Linked DNA regions of Nothobranchius furzeri. The protein of the gene in region 1 interacts with the protein of each later gene in a pairwise test. Links are inferred from orthologs where the notes say so. Each region holds a gene or a part of one and is shown on either strand. Other genes may lie near its edges.

Region 1 (5,984 bases):
ATCTACACGCACCTGTCTGACTGATCTACACGCACCTGTCTGACTGATTAACACGCACCTGTCAGACTGATCTACACGCACCTGTCTGACTGATCTACACGCACCTGTCTGACTGATCTACACGCACCTGTCTGACTGATTTACACGCACCTGTCTGACTGATTAACACGCACCTGTCAGACTGATCTACACGCACCTGTCAGACTGATCTACACGCACCTGTCAGACTGATCTACACGCACCTGTCTGACTGATCTACACGCACCTGTCTGACTGATTAACACGCACCTGTCAGACTGATCTACACGCACCTGTCAGACTGATTAACACGCACCTGTCAGACTGATCTACACGCACCTGTCAGACTGATCTACACGCACCTGTCTGACTGATCTACATGCACCTGTCAGACTGATCTACACGCACCTGTCTGACTGATTTACACGCACCTGTCTGACTGATCTACATGCACCTGTCTGACTGGTTTACACGCACCTGTCAGACTGATCTACACGCACCTGTCTGACTGATCTTTACGCACCTGTCTGACTGATCTACACACACCTGTGACTGATATAGACGCACCTGATTTCGACTCACCTGTCTGACGTTTGTGATGTTTATAAATGCGACTTCCATCTGAATGAAATCGCCACATTTCCTCAGACTTTTACGTCCCTGGCACAGAGACCAGACACAGGTGATTGATTTCACTAATCTGTGTGGGAAGCAGATTAAAGGATCACGTGGGAACGAGCTGAGTCTTGTGACTCGTCGGTTTTGACTGCTCTGATTGGACAACTGAAGAACTGTAATACCCTTCATTAAGTAGCATCAGTATTTACCTCCTGATTACTTCCTAATGTGATTATTGATCAGACTGCTGGAGCCCCCTGGTGGTGAGGACGGGTCTGCAGCTGAAACAAACCGCTTTACTGAATAATCCTGTCTCACCTGTGTTTACCTTTTTCTTACTTAAGTGCCTTAAGACAACCCATCCTCTCTGTTCCAGAGAAGCTACTGACGATGTAGAGTGACGTGTTTATCTGCTTGTGTGGGACACTTCCTGTGAAAATAAAAACGTGTTCTGACCTGACTCCATGGGGTGGGTTAACCCTAACCTAACCAGGTTAGGAATAGTTCTAGTCGGAGTCCAGCCCATCTCCAACCACAAACCCAAACCACCCATCAGCTGAATCCTTCCAGCCGTCCCGGCGTGGCGCTGAACCTCCCGAGAAGAGTCCTCTTCCACGGTTTAACGATGATTAACCCTTCATCCTTAACCAAAGGATCGTTTCACTCTTCTGTCTAAATGTGGACACTGCTGTACTCTACAGACTATTTAGTTCCAGGGATGCTGATGGACTGCCGGTTGAACGCTGCTTTTACTCTGAGGCTCATCTAAAAAATTACAATAAAGGTGTTTTTTTTTTTGCGTCACTCAGAAACTCGTATAGAAACATCAAAGAGAAATATTTCAGCCTTTCATTTCCTGTACTTGTGAGAATTCTGACTTGAAATGAGAAAATGACATCAGAGCAAATAAAACGGATCATTTAAACATCAGGATTCCAAAAGGTTTATTTCTACACGCTGAAACATTTGTGGTTGGTTAGGGTTAACCCTTACCCATCAGCCTTGGTTAGGTTAACCCTGACCCGTGTGAATCGGCCATGATGCTCCGACTCCAGTCGACCCCTGGTCAAGCTCCACCAGATTCCTGAATGGACTTGTCTTCACACAGCAGCTCATGCTTGAACATGCAGTTTCTGCAGATGTGAGCAGCTGGAACCATTAAGTCCAGTTAATACGGTTCCAGTTCTGCTCTTCATGTTCTCACTTCTTCCTCCTGACCAGCGTCCAGCTGTCCTCGGTGTCCTGTGGGGGATGAGGGGTTGAGCTGCCTGATGGGGTGGACTCGTCACACTCCATTGCCTGCACACACGGGTCGTTTTTTATTTGACTGTTGCCATGGTAACCTGTAACTTTACATGGTGATGCAACAAATATTTAAATCTCTTGTTTCCACTGGATGACAGATTTATGAGTATGAATTGTCTCCCACTCATCTGAACAGCAGGTGACCTCTGGTTCAGAACCAATCAGAGGTAACTGGGTCCAACTGGTTCCAGCAGACCTTCAAACCAGACCTGTAAGATCCTAAATCCAGCTGGAACCAGTCGGATCTTTGATTCAACTTTAATCCCATCCAATGATCAATTAAAGAACATCTGGAGCAAACAGATGTTTGGTTGTCCACAGGTTCTGACCCGGTGTTGCTCTGATTCTGCAGCCATGTTTACATTTACAAAGTGAAGCGCTGATCCATGTGGTCACATGACCAGATAAAAGTTAAACCAATCACAGGTGATGCTTACCGGAGCTTCATCAGTGCTCTCATCAGACTCAGTAGGTGGAGCCGTGACCTTTGCCCTCTGCGACCTGTTTTGAGTTAATGTGGTAACCTTCTGTTGAAGCTGTTGCAGCGCCCCCTGCTGCCACAGACCAAACACCTGCAGCAGATGGAGCGACACCTGTGCACAACCGGGAGGTACCTGGTTACTACAGGTGAGATAGCATCCGAATGACATGTCACAAGTGTGCGCATACCTGGGGCAAACTCCCATCCTCCACCATGGTGTTGAACTCTTGATCCATCAGCTCAGACAGGAAGTCCTCAACCTCATACTGCTGCAGGTCAGCTACACACACACACACACACACACGTGCATAAGGGACAAACAGGAATTGAGCTGCTGCTTTTCAAAAGTAAAAGGTTGAAGGTCACCTGACCAGATGTTCTGTCTGCTGTTTCTATGGTTACCTACTGTTGTCGTAGAAATACTGCTGAATGACATCCACCATCCACTCGGCCTTCTGCTGGCCGTAGATGCCTCCGAAGCCGTTGTCCACAGCAATCTGACAAACACACACATTTACGTCTCGGACCCACCAGAACTTCACAGGCACTGAAGAAGATGCTGTCACATCAGGCTGTTTCCTGATAACACTGATTGGTTACTAAAATAGAGCATTTGGACTAGCAGTTCTCTCCACCAATTATCTGCAGGTGGGCGTGGCTGACCCATGTGGGCCAAACCCTGGTCAGCTGCTGAAGTTTTGTCTAGAAAGTGATTCAAGATAATTACTGCATATCTTCTAAATAAATATAATTACTGCGATTATACATATAATTAAGACCACAAAACAATATAAATACATGTCAAATTCGTGGGGTAGGAGTTCGCCCTGTAACCGGTGGGTAACAGTAGCCTGACCAGCCAGATCCACGCTTTCTTAAACAGAACACGAGTCTGGCAGGCCAGGCCAGGGTAACAGGGGTGTTCGTACCCAGGCTCCATCAGTGTGAGTTGTGCCTTTGGGCAAGCCTTGCTATTGGTGGCCGCCCGGAGGCACCGGTGGCTCCTGTAGCATGCCCGGGGCAGCTGTGGCTACAGTGTTGAGTGTGTGTTATCCATAACTTAACCCTAACCGAGTCGTGTCAGAACTTTAAATCAAACCGGTCCGTCTAGAGGGAGTTCGGACGAACCAGAACCAGAATCACATCTGCACTGAAGTCCAAGATTTTTTTCAAAAACCATAAAAGCCTAAATAAAAACACGTGAACCTGTTAGCATCGGTCTGTTAGCTTCCGCAGATCATGTCTCTGTCCGTCTAAACGTCACATGTTTGTATTTCTGTGAAACCACCTGTCCGTCTCAGGTGGACCTGGTTCCGAAGCTCACCTGTAAAACCGGCCATGTGTGAAGAACCGCCCGAATTCCGTCTGTAAGTAGCTCACGTGACGCCTTAGATGTCGCCATGCTAGTTGTAACCGGGTCGATGAAATCGGTAATCAGACAAAAGCAACAGCTCATGATCGGAGTTCAGATCCGGGCACTAGAGCTGGTTCTGTAAAGCCTGCAGGTCCAGGAGAGGAGAGCCGGAGGTTTTCTGATTAATAATTGATGAAAAGTTTAAATACAAAATGTGGTAAATAAAAATAATAATACCCCTAATCTTCCATAAACTCACTAGCCTGGCAAGCCAGACTAAATAAATGTATTATTTATGTGTTTGAAACCCCTCTAGAGGGCTGTGATTGGCCAGCCAGAATGCTGTTAGGGGCTGCAGAGGTTCCAGTGGAGCGTTCCTAGACCAAACTTTGCAAAGTTTCAAGAAACTCCTGAAGACCCTGCTCTTCAGAGAGCATCTTCTTAACTAGCACCTTGCCTGCACCCGTCCCCCCTCTCTACTGTCCACTCCTTGTTCCCTCCTCTCCATGATTGATGTCAATGTTGTTGTTATTGTTGTTGTTAGCCTCAAGGGCAATATGCCGATTATCACTTGTAAGTCGCTTTGGACAAAAGCGTCTGCTAAATACATAAACATAAAGCAAGAAGTTGGTCTAGTTCACTAGGCTATAAATTCACCTGCTCTGAAATCAATTTCAAATAGTAATTTGTATAGAATCAGTTTACAAAGGCTGCTGAGTTTAAATTTGATGTAGTTTCTGTCACTTATGTCAACAGAGATTAATCAACTAAAAATCTTTTCTGTGATAGAATTTTAAATATGTGGAAGTCTCTCAAGGAGAGGCTAACATTCATTTAAACAATCCCTTCGTGGATTGAGTTTGGTAGGCCTACTGTAGAAAAAGATAAGCACACCTAAATTCTAATCAGTATTTTATTCTTATTAATAATTATTTTATACATAAATGACATCATTCGGTTCACAGAAACTCCTCCCATAGTGTATCATCCGGCCAGCCGCTAAAAGGGGCGTTTTGGTTTGTACGCGGGAACGACCCCCTGGTGTGGGGGCTGGGGGGTGCATTGACATGGTCGGGACATAGGGGAATGCATGGCCAAATTAGTTTGGGAACCGCTGTTCTAGAAGATATGAGGAGAACATTTCAGCTGTTTGTCAGCCACACAAGCCTTCTTTACAATAGAGGAAAGCTGGCACAGTCCTCCTCCTGAGGCTCATAGCTTAAAAACCGTAATACCGGGATTATGGTTTAGCTGCAGGCCTACAGGGGTGGACTGGGACCAAAATTTGGCCCTGGGGTTTTAATGAACCATCGGCCCTCGACAGGGGAGGTTGCTGCTTGCGACTCGTCTATCCCGCCAAATGTGGGGGAGGGACGGGGTGTTTTGTGTGCTGCTCGCGGACTTGTCTCTATAACCGCATGTGAGACGGGGTGGGGGCTTGGTTTGGGGCGGCCCATGGGCAAGTGGCCCACTTGGCTGAGAGGCCCACCGGGACAGGGCCAGAATGCCAGATAGGACAGTCCACCCCTGCCTACAGGTAAACCAGAGACAGTACTTCAAGGCTGACAAAAAACCTACTGAGTTTGAGAAAATCATTAGTGTACTATAAAAGATATGTTCAGAGGAAATTTTTGTTTCAAGGTGTTCATGACTCATGCAGTTTCTCAGCTGCATCAAATGTCATTTCAGACCTCTGAAATGTCTCATCACTTTCATAAACTGCTGCACCGAACTGAAAAATTCAAAAAGTGTGAGCAGCAGAAGGCTTTGGTGGTTATCTGTACAATTACAATGCCAGAAATGGAGCAAGGGAGGGTCACCGCTCCTATCTTTGCCCATTATAATTTTTGTGAATTTTTCTGAAAATCTCAAGCCGTACCTCAACTTCTACCTGTGATTTTAGAAAAACCTGGGAAGATATAAAAAAAATTGTAACCAGTAATAGCCGAACGTCTTGTGAGTTTGTTGAACCTTGAATGAAGTCTCTAGATTAAGGTTAACCTATCAGAGTAAAGGTCAAAAACGTGATAGGATTTTACTGAAAATTGAGCAGTTCCATTCATTTCAACGGGGGAAAAATAGCATAAAAAGCTGAATGCCTCAAAAAGTATAAAGTATTTCAATACCAAAAATCATAGTTGGTATAAGCTGAACGTTTTGATACCAAAATTGTGTAAGTAGCTGAAGAATTGTGGAAGAAGTTAAATG
Region 2 (5,975 bases), on another chromosome or scaffold:
TTTGCAAGAATTATGGTAATTTTTACAGAAGCCGTAATGTAGTTATACAAGTTCTCAAGTAACACGATCTTAATTGGAAGATTACATTTTCTCACAAGCTGCTTTAATTGAAACGTGACTGTTAAATGGGATGGGTAGTTTTAAGTGTAAGCGCATAAGTCCTACAGTCTAAAGATGGATAGATATTTTATTTGGTCAACAACAACAATTTATCAATTTTAAATAAAAGTAATCAAGCAACCGAAAAAAGGAATAGGTTGAAGCCTAGTGGCTTATAATTAGCCTTTCCTTAACTCCCACAGAGATAATCAAATCCTTAACCAAGAGAAAAAAAAAGTAGGGCATAACATTTAAAGAAAAAGCAATGATAAATCAAGAAATCAAATCAACACAAGGTTAGACATCAAACTAAGTTTCTATAACTTTGGAAGATGCACATTTTTCTTGAAAAATTATAAAGAATAACACATCTTCAGTTCAAGTCCATTCCATAACTTCACTCCCAAAACCGACACACATCTATACTTAGCATTAGTTCTCACTTTAGGTATTTCAAAAATAAAAGACCCCCTCAAATCATATTTTCCGTCTCTTAATTTAAACATACTTAAAATACAAATTGGAACATTCTTTTTCACCATTCTATACATCATTTCTAAAGTTTTAAGATATATGTCCTTAAATTTTAACATAGCTGGTCCTACAAAAATTGGTTTGTGGACTCCCTATATCCATTTTATTTATTATTCTAATAGCTCTTTTTTGCAATTTAAAAATTGAATCCAGATATGTTTTATGTTTTCCCCCAAATTTCCACACAATAACTCGCATAAGGCAAGCAAAGGGAAGTGTACAGTAAATAAAGGCTGCTCTTGTGCAATAAGTTTTATAAAGAATAGAAATACTTAATTTCCGTTTCACATGATCTATGTGAGACTTCCAACAAAGTTTATCATCATTACTCCTAAAAAAGACAAACTTGGTGTTTGAGGTATTACGTATTTAACCTGACAATATAGATCAGTTAACAGGAAAAATACTTCAACTGTCCTGGAGTATTCAACTCCGGTCCTGGAGGGGTGGCATCAAACACGTTTTAGTGGAACTGAAAACCCCGGCTTTAATCAGCGGCCCCAAAAAACTGAATGGTTTAAAAGCAGATTGCTAACATTTTGCCACCACACCATAATTAGAACAGCCTAAACCAGTTTTCACCTGACTGTCAAAAATGGTCATGGTTACCAATAAAATGCAAAGATTTGACAAAATAAACGTTATAGTGTTTTGTTGAAAAGTCCATAAACTTTTCAGTCCAGTTTCTCCAGCACAATTTGCCCACAAACATATTCCCCTGACCACTGGATGGTGATGTGCTTCTGAAGGTGATAGGTGTTGTACCAAAGCCATTTGCTCCTGAACCAACATCTGGTTGTTTTCATCTCAAAACTACTACTAGGTCCACCCGTTCCAAGATTATACTTAAAAACATCCAGGCTTTGTGACGGTCAGTTGCTTTCTAGTTTTGTCAGCTTAAATATCCTTTTTGTTGCCTTGAATGACAAAAGCCATTTTTAAATGTATGATATTACACATTTTAATAAATGACCAATAAAACTACTTTAAGTTCTGTACTGCAAGTCTACGCCAATAAAAAAAAAAACTTGACTAAACTTCTTTCCTTTAATCACAAAAGATTGAAGAGCTTCACACATTAAAGTTGTTGTAAAGATTGTTTATTTTCTTTGTTAGATGTACGGCATGTTCAGATTCTGCTTTACATGGGTTTTGGAGGAGCTCTTGGTGCACCAGCCTGAAAAGAAAAAGAAAGTTCAGATAAATGAGTGAATCAATGACGATGTCTTTTTTTTTTTTTTACTTGGTTTCAGGAGTTTGTGTTTGAACAATTTTCCAAAATATTTATCTGTAAATTTCCACATTAGCCAGTTATTTTTACAACAAATTGTGTATGATACTCACAGTAGGCCTGAATCTTGGTGGTGGGGTGCGATCCTTCCTGGCCTCACAGGAGCGATTCCTCACTACCTTGCTGTGGATAGCACAGCTGACACAGTAGTGCAGCTTCACGTAGAGCTTGGGCAGAACATATGCTGAAAAAGTAAAAAAAATAAATTAAAAAAACTGACTAGAACCAGACTCCAGAATCATCCAAGTTTATGAGAATACATAATACACACACACATATATATATATATATATATATATATATATATATATATATATATATATATACATACATACATATACATACATACATACATACATATATATATATACATACATACATACATACATACATATATATATCACAAATATAATTGTTGTGGACTTTTGAGCCTTAGTGATAAAAAAAAATCTGCGAATCGTCCCTGCTGGTGAGCACCTGTAGCTCTGACTTTTTTACAAGGCAAAATAATACAGCTTTGTTATATTAATTAGTCCCATATAATAATTAAAATTTTGTAAAACTCAAGTTGATTCACACCAAACGTTACTTTGGTGTTGCTTAACAAGGGAGCTGGATTAAAGCGAAAAGGTTCAGAAGATGCTTACAGTCAAAGACGCTGGCCTCTGAGATGTCCCTCACGGCTGCTGCCTCTACAATGTTCCTGATGACAAACTTCTTGATGGCCTTGTCCTTGGGTACACAACGAGCACAGTTGGTGCAGCGAATGGGCTGCACATGCCCGCGGCCTTTCTTGGCACGACCGTTATTCCTCCTCTTCTTGGTCTGCAAAAAGTTGCCATATTAATATTTAAGTAAAACAATTAAGGCTGCTAAATTATGTCCATGATGCAAGATTACATGCAACAAACACCTCTACATTTTTATTATTGTTTATCCTCCTCATTTTATATTTCCCACTCTTAATTTATTTGTCATCATCTTTGAAAATAATTTTTGAATGTGCTACTGCACTAGTGGAGCACCTTGTGTTATCTTGAAATACTCTTCATATTTGTAACAATTATCCAGCACCTTAGAATGGCACCAAATTTGCTCAATCTGTAAATAAAATCCTTGACCATAAAACAAAGTGTAGCATCGGGGAATTAAAACCTACATATCTGAAAGGTTTCAACACTATTTTACAGCACTTCCTGTATAGTTTAACTAGCAATTATCTTAGTATAAGACAAATATGTACTAAATCTTCACTGAAAAAATAAAACGTCTTTCCTTGTTTGCCATGAGACTGCTTCTAACAACTACCATTTAAACGTTCTCAAATGAAATACAGTAGATCTAATGCTATTGTCCACACATTACTGAGAAAGACATCCAATGCACCTTACATAATTTATAACCCAAAAGGTATACTCTCTTAACTCTATATAAAATTATTACGAAGTGAACGAATCTCTGGTTCACTGGTAGTCGTGATAGTTCATTATGAGGTGGTTCCCGCAACATAAGACAAGTTAAATTGTATCTACTCAAGCTACTAGATAAATATCTTAGAATTAACATGCCGTGAGCACAATTCGGTTCATGTAGTTTCAAGACAAATAATGACAGGATCTTTTGCCATCAGACGTAACACATGTACAAAATGATTAGCATGCTAGCTATTAGCATTAGGCCCAAATTCAGATTTCATTCTGTATAAGTTATGTTTGACTTTAATTCTCTAAGATATAAGTTCGCTGTATGATTATAATGTATAAAATGTGTAAACAGCTTCAGCGCAATCGAGTGAAAAACAAGTTTTGTTATTTTTACACTGCCGCCGTCGTTAAAACTCACTCACCATGATGCACGAGAAGCTAGAAAGAGGACCGGAAGAGGGTGCACCGGCACAAAAAAACCCATCCACCCCGCCCTCTGAATACATTTCGTTCCTAAATGCATTTATTTTGAAGAAAATATGTTATTTCTCGTTTGTTTTATTATTTTGGTATTTAGATGAGAATAGATCGACTTTAAGTTAGTCTGAACAGAAAACGAGGATGCACTGAACTTTAAAAGCACTAAAATTAATAAACAAGCATTCGCGGAGGGATATAAAAACAAAAAGAGCACTTCCGGTTGCGTGATTAAACCTAAACGCGTTGCACGATTCCTAAATGAATAAAAATATATTATTTGAAATTCAGCTTTGTGGTCGCTTTTCACCAACACGTTAAAACATTAATTATTTATCTTTTTCTCTGGGCTTTACACTTTCATAAAAATTACGCTAATTAAAAAACGAAGCTCTAGCTCCGAAATACTGTAAACAATTTTGTTCAATGATGCATTTTTCTATCATAGCAAATGATTACATTTGCTTGAAAAGAATTTGATACAACAAAATACCGGTAGTACAATACAATTTTTTCAAGAAATACAGGATTAATGGAACTACTTTTTTTTACCTTTGGCTACAAGTCTATTGTCCATGAATAGACACCTGTTTTATTTTATTTTTATATATTTATTGCATTCATAAGTGGTTTTAAAAATCACGTTTTGACTTTACACTTAAAATAGGTGAATCCTGATTGCTATTAAATAGAAAAACCCAGATAACACTTTTCAAGCATTGCTTTAGACTCACAAATTAATTATACAGTAATTGATTGGTATTAGTTATTAGCTGCTAGCTGACTGAGTTGGAACAGCTATCCCAGGTTTGGGAATTTACCAGCTCAGTTTTTTGCTTTTTACGGCATGTTGTTGCATCTAAACCACATAAGTACTAATTGAGACAGACATTTCCCATTCTTATTGAAATGATTACTTTTACTTAGTTTGACAGGTTTAGATCACATTTACACCTTAAGAAGTGTGAGACGTCTGCCACAGCTGTTCTATAAAATCTGACATTTAAAAATAAAATGCAAGAGCAGTCAATTTGAGTTTCAAATTACAATGTGTCTGTCCAGTAGCGGTTTTAGGCACGGGCAGACAGGGCAGTTGCCCGGGGCGGCATTTTTTCATGACACAAAAGGGGCGCACAAGCGCTGAGTAAAAAAAAAAAAAAAAAAAAAAAAAAAAAGGAAATCTGCGCCGCACCGAGGTTTTCTATTATCTGTCATATGACAGTGTCTGGATTGGAAACAGCAAGTTGGCGCCCCCTGCAGCTGCAGGCGCTCCGTGCACCGTGTGTGTATGAAGAAGAGGAAGGGGAGGGGTGCGGCGGGGGAATTCACCTCTGGGTGGGTCCAAATGAAATGAGCGGGTAGGGGCTGAATCAACTATCAACATGGCTAAAGTCGATCACATCTTGATGTTCTTCCACATTTAATTCATAATATCATAAACACAGGCCTATCATTCTTTCAGGTTTCTCTGAATTGTGTGAAATGGCCGAATAAAAAAAGGAAAAACAAAACGATTTTGTGGTCACCCCCCCATCAAGGTCAAATTGTTTAGTCCTGACTAAAGGAAACTTATTGAGTCAAGAGCCAAACAGAAGAGATGAACATAAAAAGGCTAAAACCAACAGGTGCCCGATTCAGGAATAAAAAAGAAAAAAAGAGGAGAAAAATAAAGGTATGGTCGCTCTCATGATGAATGTTTTCAATTTTTTGAACCAGTTAACTGGGATTTTAACGGTTAAATCCGGTCAACTAGTTGCTAACAGAGCTAATAGGGCTGAAAATATTGAAACGAATATTCAAATGGTTCGAATAAATTCCTTGAATCGTTTTTTATTGATTCAAACTAGGATTTGTTAAATGCTCGCTGCAGCCTGTGGCCTGCCTGAACAACAACAAACACATGTTGATCAAGTTCACATAATAATAAATAAAACAACTCTACAAGCAGAAGAAAACACCCCAGTCACCACTAACTATCCTGTTTATTTATTGCAGATGGCTGCACTGATTATTTTTTACATGATTTGTTCTGTAAAAGTTAGCATTTTTGGTAGTCTACAGTTTTTTTTATGTCAGTTTAAATTACAATTTCAGAGGCAATTGTAAAATATTATGGATCATGAGATCTATTGGAGATCTACCCCAACTTT

What was found.
Region 2: the proteins of tsr2 (region 1) and small ribosomal subunit protein eS26 interact in binary tests that used the Homo sapiens proteins (3 or more experiments, as listed by UniProt). The two-hybrid records come from large-scale screens. The link is inferred for Nothobranchius furzeri from reciprocal best matches to the Homo sapiens genes TSR2 and RPS26.

What each region holds. Positions count from the first base shown.
Region 1 is NC_091755.1:47,642,262-47,648,245, reverse strand, and holds tsr2 (pre-rRNA-processing protein TSR2 homolog), read right to left. Parts: upstream 3,843-5,984; 5' UTR 3,825-3,842; coding exon 3,747-3,824; intron 2,920-3,746; coding exon 2,829-2,919; intron 2,703-2,828; coding exon 2,611-2,702; intron 2,535-2,610; coding exon 2,379-2,534; intron 1,936-2,378; coding exon 1,837-1,935; 3' UTR 1,556-1,836; downstream 1-1,555. UniProt on the Homo sapiens protein: May be involved in 20S pre-rRNA processing.
Region 2 is NC_091743.1:48,632,887-48,638,861, reverse strand, and holds small ribosomal subunit protein eS26, read right to left. Parts: upstream 3,897-5,975; 5' UTR 3,855-3,896; coding exon 3,771-3,854; intron 2,750-3,770; coding exon 2,572-2,749; intron 2,109-2,571; coding exon 1,978-2,108; intron 1,811-1,977; coding exon 1,775-1,810; 3' UTR 1,718-1,774; downstream 1-1,717.